Daphnia pulex: one gene and its partners. The protein of the gene in region 3 interacts with the protein of the main gene of each other region in a biochemical or structural test. Links are inferred from orthologs where the notes say so. Each region holds a gene or a part of one and is shown on either strand. Other genes may lie near its edges.

Evidence for each region.
Region 1: the proteins of importin subunit alpha-1-like (region 3) and importin subunit beta-1-like form a complex in vitro, tested with the Homo sapiens proteins (6 studies listed by BioGRID and IntAct, with this or other methods). The link is inferred for Daphnia pulex from reciprocal best matches to the Homo sapiens genes KPNA2 and KPNB1.
Region 2: the proteins of importin subunit alpha-1-like (region 3) and exportin-2-like form a complex in vitro, tested with the Homo sapiens proteins (2 studies listed by BioGRID). The link is inferred for Daphnia pulex from reciprocal best matches to the Homo sapiens genes KPNA2 and CSE1L.

The regions. Positions count from the first base shown.
Region 1 is NC_060020.1:1,461,471-1,467,776, forward strand, and holds the start of importin subunit beta-1-like, read right to left. Parts: upstream 3,761-6,306; 5' UTR 3,571-3,760; coding exon 3,513-3,570; intron 3,404-3,512; coding exon 3,345-3,403; intron 3,204-3,344; coding exon 2,820-3,203; intron 2,756-2,819; coding exon 2,603-2,755; intron 2,541-2,602; coding exon 2,391-2,540; intron 2,324-2,390; coding exon 1,982-2,323; intron 1,917-1,981; coding exon 1,584-1,916; intron 1,521-1,583; coding exon 1,302-1,520; intron 1,244-1,301; coding exon 668-1,243; intron 610-667; coding exon 386-609; intron 330-385; coding exon 162-329; intron 1-161. Other genes in the region: D-aspartate oxidase-like, read left to right, coding at 5,244-5,382, 5,454-5,505, 5,562-5,759, 5,833-6,055, 6,124-6,191, 6,259-6,306.
Region 2 is NC_060018.1:3,694,784-3,701,314, forward strand, and holds exportin-2-like, read right to left. Parts: upstream 3,906-6,531; 5' UTR 3,818-3,905; exon of another isoform or gene 3,727-3,817; intron 3,503-3,726; 5' UTR 3,501-3,502; coding exon 3,416-3,500; intron 3,352-3,415; coding exon 2,513-3,351; intron 2,443-2,512; coding exon 789-2,442; intron 726-788; coding exon 388-725; 3' UTR 281-387; downstream 1-280. Other genes in the region: uncharacterized protein LOC124188473, read right to left, coding at 4,154-4,229, 4,289-4,755, 4,821-4,956, 5,046-5,366, 5,431-5,638, 5,704-5,874, 5,941-6,141, 6,206-6,346 and 1 more. UniProt on the Homo sapiens protein: Export receptor for importin-alpha. Mediates importin-alpha re-export from the nucleus to the cytoplasm after import substrates (cargos) have been released into the nucleoplasm.
Region 3 is NC_060028.1:48,198-54,490, forward strand, and holds importin subunit alpha-1-like, read right to left. Parts: upstream 3,598-6,293; 5' UTR 3,445-3,597; intron 3,212-3,444; exon of another isoform or gene 3,174-3,211; 5' UTR 3,151-3,173; coding exon 3,088-3,150; intron 3,022-3,087; coding exon 2,853-3,021; intron 2,793-2,852; coding exon 2,645-2,792; intron 2,586-2,644; coding exon 2,330-2,585; intron 2,273-2,329; coding exon 1,720-2,272; intron 1,656-1,719; coding exon 1,378-1,655; intron 1,197-1,377; coding exon 1,095-1,196; 3' UTR 850-1,094; downstream 1-849.

The DNA of each region.
Region 1 (6,306 bases), on a different chromosome or scaffold from region 3:
AACCTTACAACCAATATTTAACATACTGTACGTACCTAACCTAAAATAAAGTAAACTTAATCTTTTAAAATAAAGTAAGGTATTTTAAGTAGAAAAATAATAAAGAATTTTGCGTTCCTCTGATTTTAATATTTAAAAAAACTAGCAGCTAAAACACTCACCAACTCGAAGTAACGGTGGCCTTCAGTCGGCGGATTTCCTTCGTGGCCCAGTTAGACAGAGTCTTTGTCTTTCCCGTTTTAGATCGTCGTCCAATAGTCAGCATGTCGGTGATTGGTTCAGTGTCAACGAAAGGCAGCAATTGATGTCCAAAGGCAGAGCAAAGATCGCTGAGAGAGAATTATATTAAATACAAGTACTAGCTAAATAAAAAATGATCCTGTACCCAATAAGACCAGCGGCGGCAGAAATGGTGCCATCTGATTTCTCCCGGTCTCTCGCAATCGTAGTGATGAAGTTTATCATGTGGGGAACATGTGGAAGTATAAGCTGGACATCATTTCCAATAGTTTCTTTGTCTTCCCCTTTGAGACCCTGAACAATTCCAGTGTATGCTTCAAGGCAGCATTCGCGCAGTTCATTCAAATAATCCATGATATCAAAATCATTCTGCAAATAACCAAACATTAAAACCAAACACTTTCAAATTAAACGAAATTGTAATTACTCGGTTGACTTGGGCTTGAGATGCTTGGTGCAGCATGCCAATAACCAATTCAAGATACTTCTTGAATTCTGGGCCGATTGCCAAAGCCATATCTCCGAATACAGCCAAAATCTGGGGTTTGACTTTTCTATCAACTTCGTTGTTGCCAAGGGTCTCCAATAGAAGCGACATGATTGAATCACAAAAAGGCAAGATCTTGGCGCCTAGAGCTCGGCAAATGTCGCCAACCAGTCCGACGGACGCCTGGCAGATGGTAGTCTCGGCGTGGTTTCTCAATCCCATGATAAGGTAGGGACGGAAGGCTTCCATGTACTTGATGAATCCTTCGCCAAGGACTTCCGTCAATGTTGCCACTGCCATCAACGCATCTTCCTGAACACCACCAGCACGATTTGGCCCAGCGCTCGAATTGAACATCTGCAGCAAGGCCGCCATGATCGGGTCAGAGATCTTGGGAGCATCTTCTGGGGTGACTTTACGAAGCACGCTCTGTAATGTGGCGCAGAGCAGCGACTGAAGATCGTTGTATTGGACTCTATCCGAATGCGACGACACGTGGGATTCCATGTTAAGAACCTAAAAAAATTTATCCGTTTTACAATGCCAAAACATGCTTTAGAGTAAGTGATAATACCTGTTGCAATCTCTCCAAGATGACCATTGTGGTCTTCTGTACAGTAATATAGCAATCTTTGGGCGAGTTCTTGACCATTTCCATCAAAGCTTCATAGGCAGCAGCACGGAGGTTAGCTTGAGCAGCATCAGGCCGATCAGTCGTTTCCAATAGCTTTTGAACGATGGGCTCAAAATATTCAGACAGGCAGTACGAATCTGGTTCATTTCCATCGGTAGCCTATTCAACTCAAGAACATAAATTTAGGTTTATTTGAACGTAGTTACAAATTTTCAGTGTTACCTGTGAAGCAGTTTCATAGGCAGCTTCAGCCAGGCTCGAGAAAGCCCAGCAAACATTAGAAGCGACACGAGGCTCAGCAGTCAGTCCAGTAACGAGAGCCTGAAGCAGTGGCTGAAGATTGGGGGGAGCCACAGCTGCATCGGGGATGATTTCACAAACTCGTCCAATCGTCCAGGCTGCAGTGTCACGTACATTAACGCTTGTATCATGCATCAATTTGAAAAGGAAAGGCATAGCTTGTTCAACAATAGGTTTTAACTGAACAGCATCAGGTCCTTCAAGGATAGAACCAAAAGCCATTACGGCGGCGTCACGGAAACGCCAGTCTGGATTCTAAAGTTGTTGAAAAACGAAAATGTTATTGTACCAAAAATGTGATTTCAAGAACTGTATCCAACCTCAATGTTCTCCTTGACGAAAGGAAGGACGTGAGGAACGATGACATCTTCACAGCAGTTGGCTAACAACATGAGACACACACCGGCAGCCTTACAGGGATTCCAATCGTCTTCATCATCATACTCTTCTTGTTTAGTCAACGTTTGCATCAACACAGGAACTAGATATTGAAGAGCTCCCTTTGCGTAGAATTTAGACGTATGTTCAGGCGGACGGCCCATTTCAGCAGCTTCGCTGGCCTCGATAGCCAAATCCACCTCTTCGTCACAAACGTTCGACCAGAACTCAATACCTTGCAGTGCGATTTCATCAATCTCCGACCTCATCGCTTCCAGTGTAATCTATTCATAATAATGAGTAAAAACTTTAAAATTTGTATAAATTTTTTTGTCAGTTTGATTAACTCACCGCAAAAAGTGCTGGCCCCATGTAGTGCTCCATGTATTGGTAATATAGGGACATAATTTTGACCAGACATTGAAGTGCTGCAACCCGTACTTTTGTGTCGGGAGATTGCGTTGCTTCACACACAACTTGCATGATGAAGTGCCGTTCACTCTACACAATTAGAAAGCGATCAGTAATAACAAACGTAGGTATTCAAATAGTAAAATACATACTTCTTTGTCGAAGTTAGCTTTAGTGAACTCCAATGAATTCAATAGCGCAGTTGTGGCAGCCAATCTGACGTGATTGCTTGGTTCCTCACGTTTCATGCCATGTACGATAGCAGTGAGAATCTCGTTCGACTGAGTAGCTAGTACTTCAGCATCCTGCATTTTTAAAACATATTTTATAATTTTCTCATCCAAATTATGTAATACTTGAATCACTCACAATATCCTGGCAAATATATCCAATCGTTTCCAGAGTGGCTTCCCGAACCATTTCTGTGCTGTTAGCTGCAGTGACATTGGCAACAAGTACAGATATCAATTCTGGCCACTGACTGACTGGTAGTTCAGCAACTGCCATGTACGCAACACATTGAGCAGCAGAGCTAGGGCGGATGGTCTCTGTACCCAAAGCAGCTAAAATGTTCTTTTTTACATAGGTCCTTAGATCGTGTGGGAATGACAACCATCTCTGCTGGTATTCCAGCTTGACATCGGTATCTTTTGAAGTCAAGCAATTTTTCAACTGCAGACCAGCTGCCATGCGGGCAACAGGGCTATTTGCTCCATGGGCAAGAATGTCAGACAAGGCTCTGATGAACTCAACCTATGTGAGAAGTACAAGTTTAGCAAAGTAGAGACTTAGTTTGAATTTTAAATTTATCTAGCCAAACCACATTTGATACAAGTTTTGCTTAGCAACACAAAAATGGGAGAAAAGTTGGTTGAAACAAAGAAAGTTGCTTACCAGATTGCCTCTTGCTGCCTGTTCAAGATAATTTTGGGCTGCTTCCAATTCATTCTTCTCTGTTAGACAAAACGTGAATGACAGTTACTAAAACCATTCAGTGTTCGGGAAAAATCAATGGCGTTGTAACCATGCCGTTGTAGAAAAAAGTAAATTTAAGTAACTAACCTGACGATACAGTTTTCTCCAAAATTTGAATTAGTTGAATATTTGGTTCGGGCACCATTTTCCCTCCTTTTATTAATAAATATCACAGATCTTTCAGTCGTAAAAAAAACTTCTAGGACTTGTTAATAGCTAGGCGTGAAAGAATCAGACGGTTAAGTTCGTCTCAACCGGCGAAGGGCGAACACATGTGGCGAAAAAAAAACCACCAGTTTTTCTCAAGGAAAAGCGACCTCTATTTGAAAAAGAATTACACGAATTTTTTATATTCAACTAATGACCAAAAATAAAATATATTAAAACGACGTACTGTGAAAAATAAAATTTTTCAATTATTTTAAATCTAATCATGAATCTTTTTGTTAAAGAATGTAGTATTTCAATCGGATCTATGTAGTCCATGCGTAGGGTTAAGTTAACTTCCGCTCTCATAAAATGGCGGCAAAGTGATTACGAAAAAATGTGATTGTTTAACCAAGAGTATCCAAAAATTATGAAAACTCTCCGGGGAAAACTGCATTTGATTAATTGGAATTAAGGAAACGCCATTTTGCCACTACAGTTGAAATTTGATTTTCAACTTTAAAATAATCAACTTGCTATCCTTCGAAGTTAAGAAAAGCGTACTGCCCTACATAGTTTCTTAATTAGAGTCAAATTTCACTAAATTATAATTTTTGTAGGCTGCTATGATATTTATGAGTCCGTCAATCCCACAGGGAATTGGAAGCTTTTTCGGTTAGTAACTGTCAGAATAGATGGCGCCAATTTGAAATTTGAATCAATAGAGCAGATTTCTATATTTTAAAATATTGCTACTGCTTTAACTTTTACGAATAAATTGTTATAGTTCCTAAAATGAAGAATAATTCGTTGTTCCTTGTGAACCATGATTAAAATGCAACCTATTCTCAGCTGACGACGCCCGTTAATGCTGCAACACGTACTGACTTGAATTGTATCCAAGCATTTCGTCATAGATTCGACAGGATAGTCAAACTATTAAAATGTAAAAAAACTTACATCAAAATGAAAAGAAAAATTGTCCTACGTGCGAATAGAAAACATTTATTACAAGAATAATCCAAATTAAGTATCGTTGTTGAAGGACGACAGGTACCGCCACTATCGCGGAACCAGGTAGAAAGGCAAAAACGTAACCATACTGAACGCTCTCTGTTTGTCTGCAGAAAATCAGTAGTCAATAACTTTGATAACACAATCTGTCTGCTGTCTACGTGTTTAAACATGGCAACGAATAAATAAATTTTGTATTTTTACTTCCATAAAAATGAGCCATTTCGTCACTGACGTACTACTCGTGATTCTAGGATTGGTGGCTTCCGTTATTATTGTTTTGAGCATTGTTGGAATTGGTAAGTTGTTTACGCAATATTAATATGCATGGGCGAAGAACATCAACAACAGTTATCTTTATGTCTTTTTTTAAATTCATGATAAAAATTTTGTCCTTGATGCTTATTTTTAATCATATGCTTAAACCTAAAAAACATTCTAATCTATTGTGTTTCTAATCAGGTTGGTTTCTAGTTTGGAAATTCTTCTTGTCACGATTCAAGTTTGTTAGGGAGTTGCTGGGAACTGTATCTGACCCTAAACCTGAAGCATCTGCTGCTGAAGCAACAGGCAGTCGCATTAGATCAAGACCCAGAAAATCTCGATTGGATTGACTTTGTGTATTCATCATATTGTGTTGTATTTAAACTAATCACTATGGTTGTGAAAGTAGCAGTGATTGGAGCAGGTGTGACTGGCCTGAGTGTTGCAACAGTACTTCAAGAGAAATTCCCCAATTTACCTATTACCCTTTTTGCCGACAAATTTAGCCCTGGAACAACAAGTGATGGGGCAGGTATAGTTTGTTCATCAACAAAAGTTTTTTATAATATAAGACTACATTTCTGTTTTTGTTTACATTATTAGCTGGACTTTGGATGCCTTTCTTGTTGGGAGACACTCCTGAAAAAGATGTTTAGTAAGTTTCTTTCTAAAGTTAAAGCTATATTTAACTTTTAATTCTATTGTTTGTAGTGTTTATTCCAAGGATACATGGATTTTTTTAAAGAAACTATGGGACTCTCCTGTAGGAGGAAAACTTGGAGTCTCTCTTGTGCCATGTTTGCAGACTTCTGACACGGTAAATCCCGTGCCCATGTATAGCGATTTCGTCTATGGATTTCAAGTTCTTACAAAAGAAGAATTGGCATTGTACAATAAGCCTGAATGGAGGTCTGCTAATATTGTTATACTGCTACTGCATCGTGAGTCACAGTGAAATTTATTTTTAAATCTTGAATCACAGGCAAGGCTACCGTTTTGTCACCTTTATTTGTGAAGGGTCTAAATTAATGCCCCACCTGCTGGAAGAATTTCGCTCAAAAAATGGCATCGTCATAGTCAAACGACTTGAAAGTCTCGAAGAGATTGCTTCCGATTTTGATGTCATTATCAACTGCTCCGGAATAGGAGCCAAAGAATTGGTCAACGACATATCAGTCCACCCAATCCGGGGACATATCTTTCGCGTAATTAATTCACTGCATTTAGATACACATCGAATTTATTTCAAGACACTTGTCGCTTTATTCAACAGGTGAAAGCTCCATGGCAAAAATCGATATTAATCGATGACAGCGACAAAGGAAACTATATTATCCCAAAGTATTATCCGCTAACATAGATTCCCTCTTTTAATTCAATTTTAATTTTTGCGTTCTTACCTTGACAGTCAGGACAGTGTTGTCCTGGGCGGAACGCACGACAAAGATCAGTGGGA
Region 2 (6,531 bases), on a different chromosome or scaffold from region 3:
AAAAGTAAATTAATCACATCGGATTAAATTATTAATTGAAATTTTATTTATTTTTAATTAATTTCTAACACTTTTCCATCAAGGATTACCTCGTGAACAGATCCAGACTGATGGCCAAAGCCCAAAGGCATTGGTAAAACCCAAATTTCATAAGGATGTGAAAGTTTCCCGTTCTTTATAAGGGTGCCAGGAATAGGAAACTGAATTACATCCTAATGCGAAACGCCCTCTTTTTACCTATGATTACAGTTAACTACTTCCAAATGGGTTATATTCTCAATTCGTGCGAAAGATGCAGCATTTTATTCATGATCGATACAGAATGAAACCATAAAGCACAACAGCGACTGAGAAATGACAAGGTACGAGAGAATAGATGGACATCCTTCAAGCTAGACAGAGATTCGCTGCCTGAAGATACTGCTGAATATAATTTTGAGCCCCCGGTGGCAAGGCAGCGCTAATCATGGGACCGACTCGACCAGGATTCTGCGTCGATAATCGGTGCAGTGCTTGAACGAGATAAGCTCGTGGGTCGGCTACTTCGGCGACTGGGTCGCGCTCTTTCTTGCCTACAAATATCAACTGTGAAAAAGCTGACTGATAGCCAGGTGTGTCCACGATTTCAACAAAGTGTTCGTCCTCTGGCACAGACTCGTCCTCGGGCAATTCAATCAAGCCAATCAAGGCCCCCAACACCGGCCCCCAAAAAGTGCTGTATACTCCTGAGGATTACAAATTGAATGTTAGCAATACAACATACATGTTAAAAGAGGTCAGAAAAATACCTGTGAAACATTCGGGAGTGTCGCAGAGCAGACGAGCTAGTCCAACGGCGCAAATTTTGCGTTCCAAAGTGCCCGACACGCGTTGAACATCAGGTACTATGAGACGATCGAGAACCATGGCGAAGATTTTCGGTTGGACAGCGTCTATGACGGCAATCAACTCTGTGGGACTGTAGCGAATGGCGAACAAGGAGAAAAAGACTATGATCGATTTGACGTACTTCGTTGTTTTGGAGGATGAAAGCCTCTGGAATAAGAGTACAAAGAGTTTACTCAAGAAAGGCGTAAGCGCTTCCTTGGGCAGATATTCAATCATGCTTTGCAGCAGGTAAAATCCTTCATGATCATTAGATTTACTGGCCACTAGCTTTTGAAAGATGCCTAATAACGCTTCAAGCTTTTGCGACGCAACAACTTGACGACTGCCAATTTGGATAAAGGCTTGAAGGAGACGCACTAATGGATGGATGTTTGCAGGGCGCTCCCAGAGGACTGGAACCAGCAGATGAGGGAATAAAGCCATGTAAGATTCAGGCACTTCAGACTGCCCACCGCGCAACTCAAGCATAAGAGAAAGAATTTGAAAAACATAAGGGACGAATTCCTGTACGTCCTGAAGTAAAATTTCCTGAAAAGAAGGAAAGAATCCTTCTTCAAAGGAAGCGACGGCTGATCGATCAGCTTTGCAACCGATGCGAACCGACAGCGAAAGTGTTTCAAACAGGTAGTGATTGAAATGTGGCTTGGAAGGGTTTCGGGACACCAACATTAACTTTTGATTCAGGCCAACCAAAGTGTGACCTAGATAGGGTAAAACAGCTTCTTGTAGCGACGAAAAGGTTCGCATGATGGCCTTCATGATGTATTCATTTTCTTCCGATCCCGCAAGAGTCATTGCATGGAACAAGTTTGCCAGCAATGCTTGCTCCATTCCAGACAAATCAGTTGCTTTAATCAAGGCCGATCCATCGGATCCCTTGAGAATAAGCAATTTGTCGATGGCATTGGCTGCGTAGGAGTGAACGACCAGACTCGGTGAACGAAGCAGGTCCACCAAGGGTTTCAACGAGACAATGATGGCCTCGCGGGGTAGGTGGTTGCGGAAAGTCATCAAGTATTTGATTGCATCCGCTTTCAAGACCATGAGCCGGTCAACGTTGGGTTGTTGCAGTTCGGGCACTATGTGCGTGCGGAAGAAATCCACAAGATCTACCAACTGGTTAGTTTGAGTCGTGCCGTGTCGAGCCGTCTGACCTTTCGAGGCTAACGCAATGATGAGATAAACGGCAGAATCCTTTGACCGCCAATTCTTTTCTGGGCTTTGTACGTACGACTCCAACATGACAGCAACGTACCGACCAAAGATTTCCGTCATCTGGGCCTCGAAGGATTTTGAAAGGGCTTTGACTAAGTCACAGGCTGCTCGTCGTCGAGTGTCTACGTCAGAACCTTCGATATCACGCCGAATGTACTCTTCTGGGTTGTCCTCAAAGAGTTCTTCATCCGATGGCCGGAAATCCATGTTGGGCAAAATAACCTTCTCGCAAATGGAACTCAGGATATTGGGGTCAGCGAAAAGGTCTTTGTAATGTGGTCGCTCAGCCACGGAACTCAAAAAGCCGATTGCATTACTAACGAGTGAATCGTACTTGACCTATAGACGAAAGAGATTTTGAACATTAGAAAAACCACTCATTGAAAATGAGTATTCAGCGGTGTCTTACCTCTTTGCCGGTTGAAACCAAAAGATTCCAGACGGCAGTGACAAATTGAGGCAAATAAGGGCGAAATTCTTCATCATATTTCGAAGCGTAGAGACTGATATTATCGCAGATTTGTGATTTTAATTGTTCACCTAATCCGGCTTCTTCATCGCTGTCACTCTTCAGTAAAGGATTGTCGGTGGTAAGAAGGCCAAGAAAGTTTTCCATCCATGATTTCATGTTGTCTTCAAAATGCTCGGGTAAGTCTTGAAAATTCAGCGAATAGAAAATTTTGCAAATGATGGTCAGGGAATTATAGATGACCTTTACAGCTGCCGGATTATTAGCATGTTGCGCAGCCAAACCCATCATCGTAATAAACAGGTCTGTCAGTGGCTTGGCAAAGTTATCCAAAACCAATTTGATTTCAGTCCACAATTCTTGAGACTTAAACTCGTAGCGATAACGTTTAAAGATGGAATGGGCAGTATGCAACACACCGTTAATAACGTGGAAGTCACCCGTGCCAAATTTGTCCACCATTTCTTGAATTAAATTTGGCCATTTTGCAGGAAAATCTTCACGACCAATAATTGAAACAGCGTCACTGAGCTGGCGTTGAATAGATTCAGGAGCTTTGAGCATTAAATTGATGATAAACTGTTTGACAGTTTCCCGATCAGAGTGATGGATTTTATCTACTGCATCTTCTTCAACCTTCCAATTTCGTTTAATGTAATTCTTGAATGTCACAGCTCCAGCTGTTCTCAGTGTCATGTCAACACCATCTTTATCCACCAAATTTAAAAGCAGCAGTGGGTAATTTTGTTTTCCTTCAATGCTTTCAAGGCATTTTTCAGCTATTGATGAAAAAAACATTAATCATGCATTTATGTCAATACAAAGAATAATTGTGCAATATACCTGATTTTCTCGTAACTCCATCAGGTGATAGCGTCTTTTGAAGATGACCTAATAGTTCTGATAAATTTGCATCATTGATCTCCATTCCTGTCACACAAGAATACAAGAAAATCGTGAATCATCATTTCAGTATGAGGCTCATAAGACACTGAAACATCATTCAGAATTTCGGAGGGAAATTATTAAAAGATGTACCGATGTTACAACCAACTGATTTAGTTTTAATTTACTTCCCTATTTAAGTTGTGCATGACTATAGCACATGGTCAAATAGAAATAACCAGAATGATTTTAAAAATACTTTGTCTCACCTGACAACTACTTCTAAGCACATCTATCAACAAAACATTCATACAAACTTATTCCTATTGTAATTCCGACGAATATAATAAAATAACTTACTGAAAATTTGTGAGTGAACGGTTGAAAATGACTTCTCTAGATTTAAAAATCGTCTGAACGAAGTTTTCTGCCTGTCGGTGGAAATAGAAAATGTTTTACAGACGTAATGACATAACCACTACCTAGATGGCGTAAAGCGGGAAATTACGAAATTACTATTTTTTACACGAATTCGAACTAATAACAGTAAAATTCAATTCAGTTATTTGATTTATTAAATGTCTTGTCTGCGAAAATCAATTACAATTCTAAAAATGGGCCTCTTAAAGACGAATAAGTAAAAATAATAATAAAATAATAAGGCGTCATAATAAGGCGTTGATTATTAAATTGTTTTTAAAAATTAGTTTCAATTTCTTCTTCTGAATCAAAATCCGTCAATGTGATACCGTACAAAACATGTGATCCAATCCTGAAACAAAGAATGTACGAATATTGTTTTAAAATTGTACAACATCATGCAATTCATACTGTTGATCCGTGGAGATGGAGTTCACTCTACTAGACCTTGATGAAGATGTTATCGTATCCGACGATGAAGACGCAGGAGAGTATCGACGTTGTTGCATGTTTTTAAAGGTATCGTTGTCGAATACAACATCTTCCATCTCTTCCATTGGAATAGAAGAAATGTTGGGAAACTCGCGGTTGGTCGGACTGCTGCTAGATTTAGTCTTCAAGATTCCACGTTTAGGTACGGTGGGAAGTGGTGGCATGATAGATGACATATCGTTTCCCTCATTCGCTATTTGATCTCTATTGCTTCCATTCTGCCGTTGGAAACCGCTGGTGATGGGTGAAACATTCAGTACAGCCGCTGATCGAGCTGGTCCCTGATCCACATTTCTTACTTGATAAGTAGGTCTGTGACTGTTTCGCGAATAAAATGTTCCTTTCTCCGGATCGTAAACCATTACGGGGCGACCATTTTCTTGTTCCTGTTAAATTAACGAATGAGTTTGAATTCAGGATAAACACAATAAATGTGTTGCCAACAACTTACGTCAATAACGAAATTTGGATTATCAACACCAGAATTCATTTCGAAGCGACTTGATTTGCCAACGCCTGTGATAGAAATGTCACTGTCGGCACCTACGGAATGATTATCATTTTTTATTTCGTGATACTTTCTTCGCCTAACCCAAAAAAAATTAAATAATCATAAATGATTAAAATAATTATGTCTACGGTAATTTCAAAAATATCTAATGAAAAATGTTGTTACTTTTTAGCGTCACGACGCATTTTTTGCCGCCAGACAATTAATAACCCAATGAGGATTAAAATAATTAGAATGAGGACGACACCAACAAAGATCCAGTACAAGTTGGCCAAGTCTTCTGGCAGGACGACTTCGTGAATGTAGCCATACTCCCTTACAGCTTTTTTTACTTCTTCGGTCGGAAAGGCGTAAGTGACATCAGTCTCTCCTGTTTTTTGGTAAAACGCGCGGACAATCACATGCGTCAGACCGCAGATGTCCATATCGACATTCCATCCATGATAACAGTTCTCAACTTGAACTATTTGGACAGTACCGACAGCACTAAGGAAAACAATTTAATTCAATATTTCATGAACAATGGAATAGAAGAAAAATCGCTTATTACGTTAAATTAGGAACTATTTCGCCTTTTTCCAGCATTCCAGATGACTCGGCATACATCTGCAAAATTTCTGCCAGCTGTGAAGATGCTTCGGCGCCCACATATGTGTGGTAGACGACATCAGTTAAAAGGATATCTGGATCAAATGGCAAAGGCGTGGGGCTTGTAGGCATAGGTGTGGTCATGGGCGCTGCTGTTGTCAAATTCTTTTCTATATAATTGAAACAAAAAAATTTATATTTTACCGTCACCATCAACTACTGGTGTTGTAATTACCAATCACTTGGTAGGAGATGAAAAATCCTTTTGCGGAAACCTGTTCAGCGTCGGCGGGTCGTAAAACATTAAAAACTAAATGAGCTTTAGGTCCATCAATCAAAAATTGAACTCCTTTGGTAACACGCCACGAGAGGACAACTGCGCTCTTATCAACCGAAGGTTCCGACCCTGTAACGAAGCGAAAAATACGAATTTTTTTAAATACAATAAATATGCAAGAACTAGGAGAATAACCAGGTCCAAGTGTGATGTAGTCCCCGTTGATGCCTGCAATGTCCAGTACATTAACTGTGAGTAACAGGTCCACATATTCCCCTGCCACATCTGTGACATCAATCACATGTATATCTTCTGTTGTTTGAGATGGGTAAGATATTCCATAACCGGGAGAAGTCATATTTCCTGACGTTTCGTTATAATTGTGGATATTTGAAGCTATAAATAAGGATATAATTTAATTTGAAATTGTCAATGCAAATCAAATAATATATGTTTATACTCAAGACTGTAATGTTGTATTGGATTTTGAAGTTTGACCGATATGCCATCAGGTTGGCCTCCATCCACAGTTCATTGGAGGCACTTTCATACTCATAGGTCGGATCACCATTTGGTAGCTCGTTTCCACCGTCACTAGAACCTAATAACAACCTTATTTTTAGGTAATATCGTAGACTACATGAACAACCCATCAACCTGATGAAATTTGTGCGATTGTGTTTTTTGGGGATCAACTTGGTTACAAGCGGCGATTATTGAAATCTATAATATATTTAGTAGTATATTCTATCTATAAAGATTGGATTCCTTACCCCTCAGCTCCGG
Region 3 (6,293 bases):
GGAAGGGGCCAGACTGGACATTTGGGCAACACCCGTGTTTACGTTGGCCGTTGTCGTCGCAACTGGTCAGAGTTTCCATGACACCTATTTTGTGCACGTGAAATAAATAAATAAAGGTTTTAAAAGTAAAGGGGAACTGTCACACATTAACAACTTACCACAGCGACAGCCAGAACGAAGAGAATAATCGGAATTGATTTCATTTTCTATATAGAAGATGTAGAGGTTATGAATCCAAAACCGAAATCGTCCGTCGCATTTGTCTATGTTGATTGTAAAATAGCTCCAGTTTTCCTAGGCCTTGAGTGAAACAGCATGGACTAAATTGAATCTCTTCACCCACTTTGGGCGACACGCCATGAAACGCAGTCGAATTCCTGTTGCTACAAAGGAGGGGCAGTTTATGGGTTCAAACGGTTGGGCAGCAGCAACTGCCTGGGATACATGGTTGAATTTCTCCTGATTACCGAGTCCAACAGAAGGGCTACAGTGTTGATTCATCCAACAGCAATCGTGGATCAAAGTGCCATAAGGATCGACTACTACTTGCTGATCAACTTCAGAATGGAAATCCTGAATCCTGTTAAATAATAGCAAAAACTTTAAAGAAAACATTGGAAAACTAATTTAACTTTGATAAGGGTCCAGACGTTGTAAGATGATTCCTGTAGTCGATAGTAGTATCTGTTAGGGTTAAATGTCAACGTAGAAATGAAACTTTGATGTGGAAATTATCTACAAATGTCAGAACACGGATTAACTGTAAGCAGCCAACAACCTGGAATCAGGAAATCAACTTGAAATACAAAAAATAAAAACTAGCACGACAAAATCAAAACTTATCAAATGTAGAGTTGATCGAGTTGTTTTGTATTGCTCGTTTATCGCGCATTGAGAAAGAGGAAAGAAGACGTCGTGCATGGACAGAAATGAAAGCAAATGGCAACTTTCAATTAAAAAACAATTTAGAAAAAAACTTTGAAATAAGAAAAGGCCAAAACTCATGATTAGGATAGCGTTCAAGAAAGTGAAGAATATATTTACCGTTGTAAAGGCAGAAAAAAATCAAAAAGAATTTTTAGATTATACAAAATTTAGAATGAGAAACCTCCTTCGGGGGCTTGAGATGGCGAGTTGTTGAATTCGTAATTGCCACTCTGCGATGTAGATGGCGCCAACTCGGAATCTTCATCCCCCTGTCGAAATAACAAACAAAAACGATTAAATCAAATTCAAGAACACTATTTCAAAATAAAACTAATTTTCTAAAATCTCAGTAATGGTTAAGTTGTCAGCACAAACACTATGAATGTGAACAGTTGTGGTAATCATTGAAATAAACCCAAAAAAAGAAACAATAAAAAAAGAATAAATTACGTCAGTTGAGAAGTACTGCTCCAGAATGGCCAATGACTTGTGATAGATTTCAACATTGTCGTGGCTCTGCAGAGCTTCGATGCGGTCCAGACCACCACACTCTTCGACGTGAAGGGAAACTTTCTCCAATTCACCCATTTTCTCAGCTGCGGCCAAAATATTAGCCAATCCATCCAGCACGACCAAGATGGTCTTGGGTTCCTTTGCCTCCAGCAAAGTGCACAGCGGAGCGATGGCACCAAACTGGCACAACAAGGCGATCTGCTCCACATTGCCACCTGAAATGAATAAGAAAAATCAATTAAAAATCAATAAAACACCAGTAAAAATGAAATAAGTTACCTAAAGTGATGTTGGTGATGGCCCAAGCTGCCTCCTTTTGGCATTTGAAGTCACCTTTGCCCAGCACATCCACCAACGGACGAATAACATTGTTGGTGATGAGAGCCTGAATCTGGATGGCATTGCCGGCAGCAATGTTGGACACGGTCCAGGCAGCCTCCTTGACGATGTTCATCTTAGCATGAACGAGTAACTTGGCCAGCAACGGGCAGGCACCAGCAGCCAGGACGGAATCGGTCTGAATGTCACTTCCTGTAACGATATTCCCGATTGTTCTCAGAGTGGGGGTGATCACGGCCACCTCAACGTGGTCCAGCAAAGCGACCAGCCGTGGGACGACACCGGCGTCGACAACCTCCTGAATCCGTTCGTTGGGGCCATCGGTGAGGTAAGAAAGAGCCCAGCAAGCATCGGCGAGGATCTCTTTGTCGTTGTTGTGGATCAGGTGGGCCAATGCGGGAAGCAGTTGCCGGACGGCAGGGACACTGGGCGGAGGATTCTTGTTACGACACAAGTTGGACAAAGTCCAAGTGACATTACGCAAGAATGTGGCCTATAGATCAAATCAATTAACAACTGCACACGAACGTAAATTTAAAATAAAACTCACCGAAGTATCAGGTTTAATCAAAGTAAGCAGAGGCTTGATAATGCCTTGCTCGATGACGTGATCACGAAGCTCTGGTCCGTCTCCGGCGATGTTACCCAGAGCCCAAACAGCTTGCTCTGCCACAACTGGATGAGGTGACCCCAACAGGGAAATGAAGCCAGCGACAGCCCCAGCACTGACGACAGCCTTTGTCTGGTCAGATGTGCCTGAAGCAATGTTGGTGAGAGCCCAGGCTGACTCAAACTGCAGATCGGGGCTGAAACAAAGAAAGACCATTAGGAAATGTTCAAAAACCAAAAGAGACACTTGACATACTTGCTGACACGACTGAGAAACTCCACCAGCTTCGGAACAACATTTGCATTAATGAGGATGTCAATGGGTGGATTACGTTCCCTGCTGAGGATTTTACGGGCAGCATGGGTTGCAGTGATCTCCTTGTTCTCATCACCACTGTTGATACCTAACGATAATGAAAAACATATGAGAAGCAACTCAGAAATAAAAACTGATGCACACATACCATTGACTATGTCCTCAATGCTCATATTTGCTGCAGCCATCCGATTCTGTTCTTGGAGTGGGCTGAGGGGCTCATCATCGATTTCAAGGTTACGTCTCTTCAACAAATGATCTTCCTTCTTGGCTTTCCGCAACTCAACATTCACCTCTGTACGTCTCCTCCTCATTTCCTGAACAAGAAAGATGAAAAATCTGTTACATTTGAGAACTGACACTAGTTATTTTAAGGTATTTACCTCAACATCTCTGCCTTTGTTCTTGAAGTCCTTCAACCGGCTGGGATTTGCTTCAGTAGGCATTGTGATAGTGTAATTTACTCCAGCTGTCAAAGAAAGAGAATTCTAAAAGGGATTTTCAAATCTGGCACAATGACAAAAGAAAAATGAGAAATGGGACTCGAGACAATGAAGCAACAAAGAGAAAAAATTTCCCGCGCCACGTGCAAAATTTCCCAGACTATGGCAGTCGTTAAAAATGTGTCAATGATGACTCATACCATTATTTCACAATTTGTTATAGTCGAAGCAAGAAGTAAACTATTATTCCACGTGGGAATGTCAGAAAAATTGAAAATTAATAGAGAGAGGAATTACCTGCGGGACTTGTGAGCAAGAATCAATTGATGAATGGTGACCGTTTGATCGCTAAGAGAATTCCAGACGACGAAGAAGAAGAAGGGGGAGGGAATTTCAAACCTAACCGTTGCCTGTTGCCAAATTTATTCATTGATGCAATCGGAATGGGATCAAATCTGGCAACGTATAAGCAGACGAGAAAATTTAAAATTTCAAAATAAGCAGAAAATGAAAAACGCCGATGGAGCTGGTCATAATAGAATTTAACTGAAATTGATAATTGATTTTAATAAGAATTTGTTACCATAGGATTTCTCATTAATTAACCTTCTGACTTAATGATCTGTTGGAAGTCTTTCTTTAAGAACATGATGTATGATGATGTCCAAATGACAGTGTCAGAGATCTCTCCCCTGGTTTAAACAGTTTTCATAAAACTAGCATCAACAATTTTTATGTTGGCAGGAAGAAGTTATACAAATATAGATCCAGTAATCTTGAACATTCAATTTATATAAAACTGTTTTCCAAACTAAAAAAGTGGCAAAAATTTGAATACCAGCCAGTGCCAGCCGATTCCTGAAAGCTTAAACTTTAGACTGCCATCTGGAAGAAAGAAAAGTTTTCTCCCACAACCCAAATTAATTTATACTAAATTTTCAAATATTTTTCAGACCAAATTTTCCATCAGTTGTAAGAGTATCATCCAAAATCAGTGTGAACAGAATCAACAGATAAAGTATGGAAGAAACTTCATTTTAATACATCTTCCTAACGAAATGAGGTAGGCCTAGCTGTGATACCAAACATACAGAATGAAATTTAGATTTACAATGTCTCTTGTCTGATCTCTAAACTTTCTGTAGAAATTAAAACGTTTTAATTGCTTTAAACACTAACAGTTGTGAATTCAAGTTATATATCTTATTTCATTTAATTTATTAAATCAGTGGCAGGCAAATAACTTTTATTTTTAAAAATCAGTTTCATCCGACTGCAAGAGGGGACCGTTTAGCCTTTCGACAAGTTTGATCAACAGAGCGTACCAAATATAGTTCAGTTGGAATCGCTAATTCCGACACAGGTGGTCGTAAAATCCGTGCTGGACAGTGTGCACGTAATACGTTAAACACATTTTTCAGTCTATACGTTTCTTAAAAACTAATCATATTCTGTGATTAGGTCACGTGTGCTAATAGACTCTAAAATTCCTTTTCATTTCCAATTTCCCCACAATTAGTTGCAATCCGCCGGGCAGTTCCAAAAGAAACGGAGAAATCCAACGTGAACAGCTGCAACTCCCGTCATCGGTTCAACTGGATTACAACGACCCTGCAAAGTTGGTGTTGCAGTTGGTGTTTATTCCAACACATTCGTATCACGTCCAATCATTTTCCAGCCCCTCGTAAATTGTCAAGTTTCATTTGAATCCGATAGTTCAACTGGCGCTACTTAAATAATCGACATAGAAAAATGCGGCTCGACTATAAAATGACGACCCACTTGGGCGTTTGAATTCCTAAACCCCCACGTCTGATCTCCTAGATAAAAAATGAAGTTCCTTCCGATTCTCTTCCTTCTGGTTGCCGTCTGCCTGGTTGTCGCCATGGTGAGTTGTTTTGACATTTCTCGTTTAAGTTTCAATCTGTTCCACGTCTCTTTTTTAATTGAACATAATGTGGCGCATTATTATTTGATGATGCACGAAACAGGAGGCCCAAACAACCAAGAAACCAACACCTGCAACGACCACCAGCAAGACACCAACAACAACTGCCAAGACAACTGTTAAATCAACAACATCGAAGACAACGACAACCACCAAACCGTGTCCAGTAGTACCACCGTTAGAACGTCGTCCACTAAACCTGCCACGACGACAACAACAGCCAAACGGACAACTGCCAAGACAACAACGTCAGTCAAAACAACCGCACGAACGACGACATCCCTGAAGCACCGCAAACAACATCGCAGAAAACAATCAGCACAAAATCCAACACCCCCGCCAGGACAAAAGCTGCACCAACAACAACGTCAATTCCTTCACCGGCTCTTTTTGATTGTTCAGTTTCCGATCCAGGTATAATAACACGACGTGATTAAGCTGCAGTTGAAACTTGGATATTCAAATGTCTAATGAATCGAAATTTCTCTCGTTCAATTGCATCGCGGACGACTGTACAAATCAATTGCGGACACCATCTAGCCTGCGGAACTATGTGCACCAATCTGACGTCAACGGGAGGTGTTGTCCATTCTCCCAATTTCCCCGGCGACTACGGGAATGATTAATTCAGGATTTGCGAAGTCGATCGTTGTCGTGCCAGCAGGAAAGAAAATCCAATTGACATTCACCATCTTTAATGTGGAGACTGACTACGGTCATGTTTATGTAAGTAATAATGCATCAAACTGTTGATTCTGTTGTTTGATTGATACAAAGTTAATTACTGTATTTCAGTATTATTCAGGGAAATGACTACACTTGTTTGACTTCTCAAGGTTAGCGACAGATACACGGATTTATTATATGGGCCAACCGGCCACGGGTCCGGAAGAACAATTCAGTCACCACAGCATCCACCATCATGTTTATACAGTTTGTTACCTATGCCACTACTAAACCCAAACCCACAATCTATAATTGGCAGGTGACTTACACTGCTGTCGCGATCAATAAGGTTTCCCAGTATTTAGATTCTAAACATTACCTTCAAACGCTGATTACCATTTTCTTTTTTATTCTTGAGCAGGGTAATACAACCACAACGACATCTACGGTGCCAACGACTGTAAAATAAATGGCTTTGCTTCTCGTTTGATCGACGCTGATCGACAGTCCTGATTAAATGAACCATTGAACA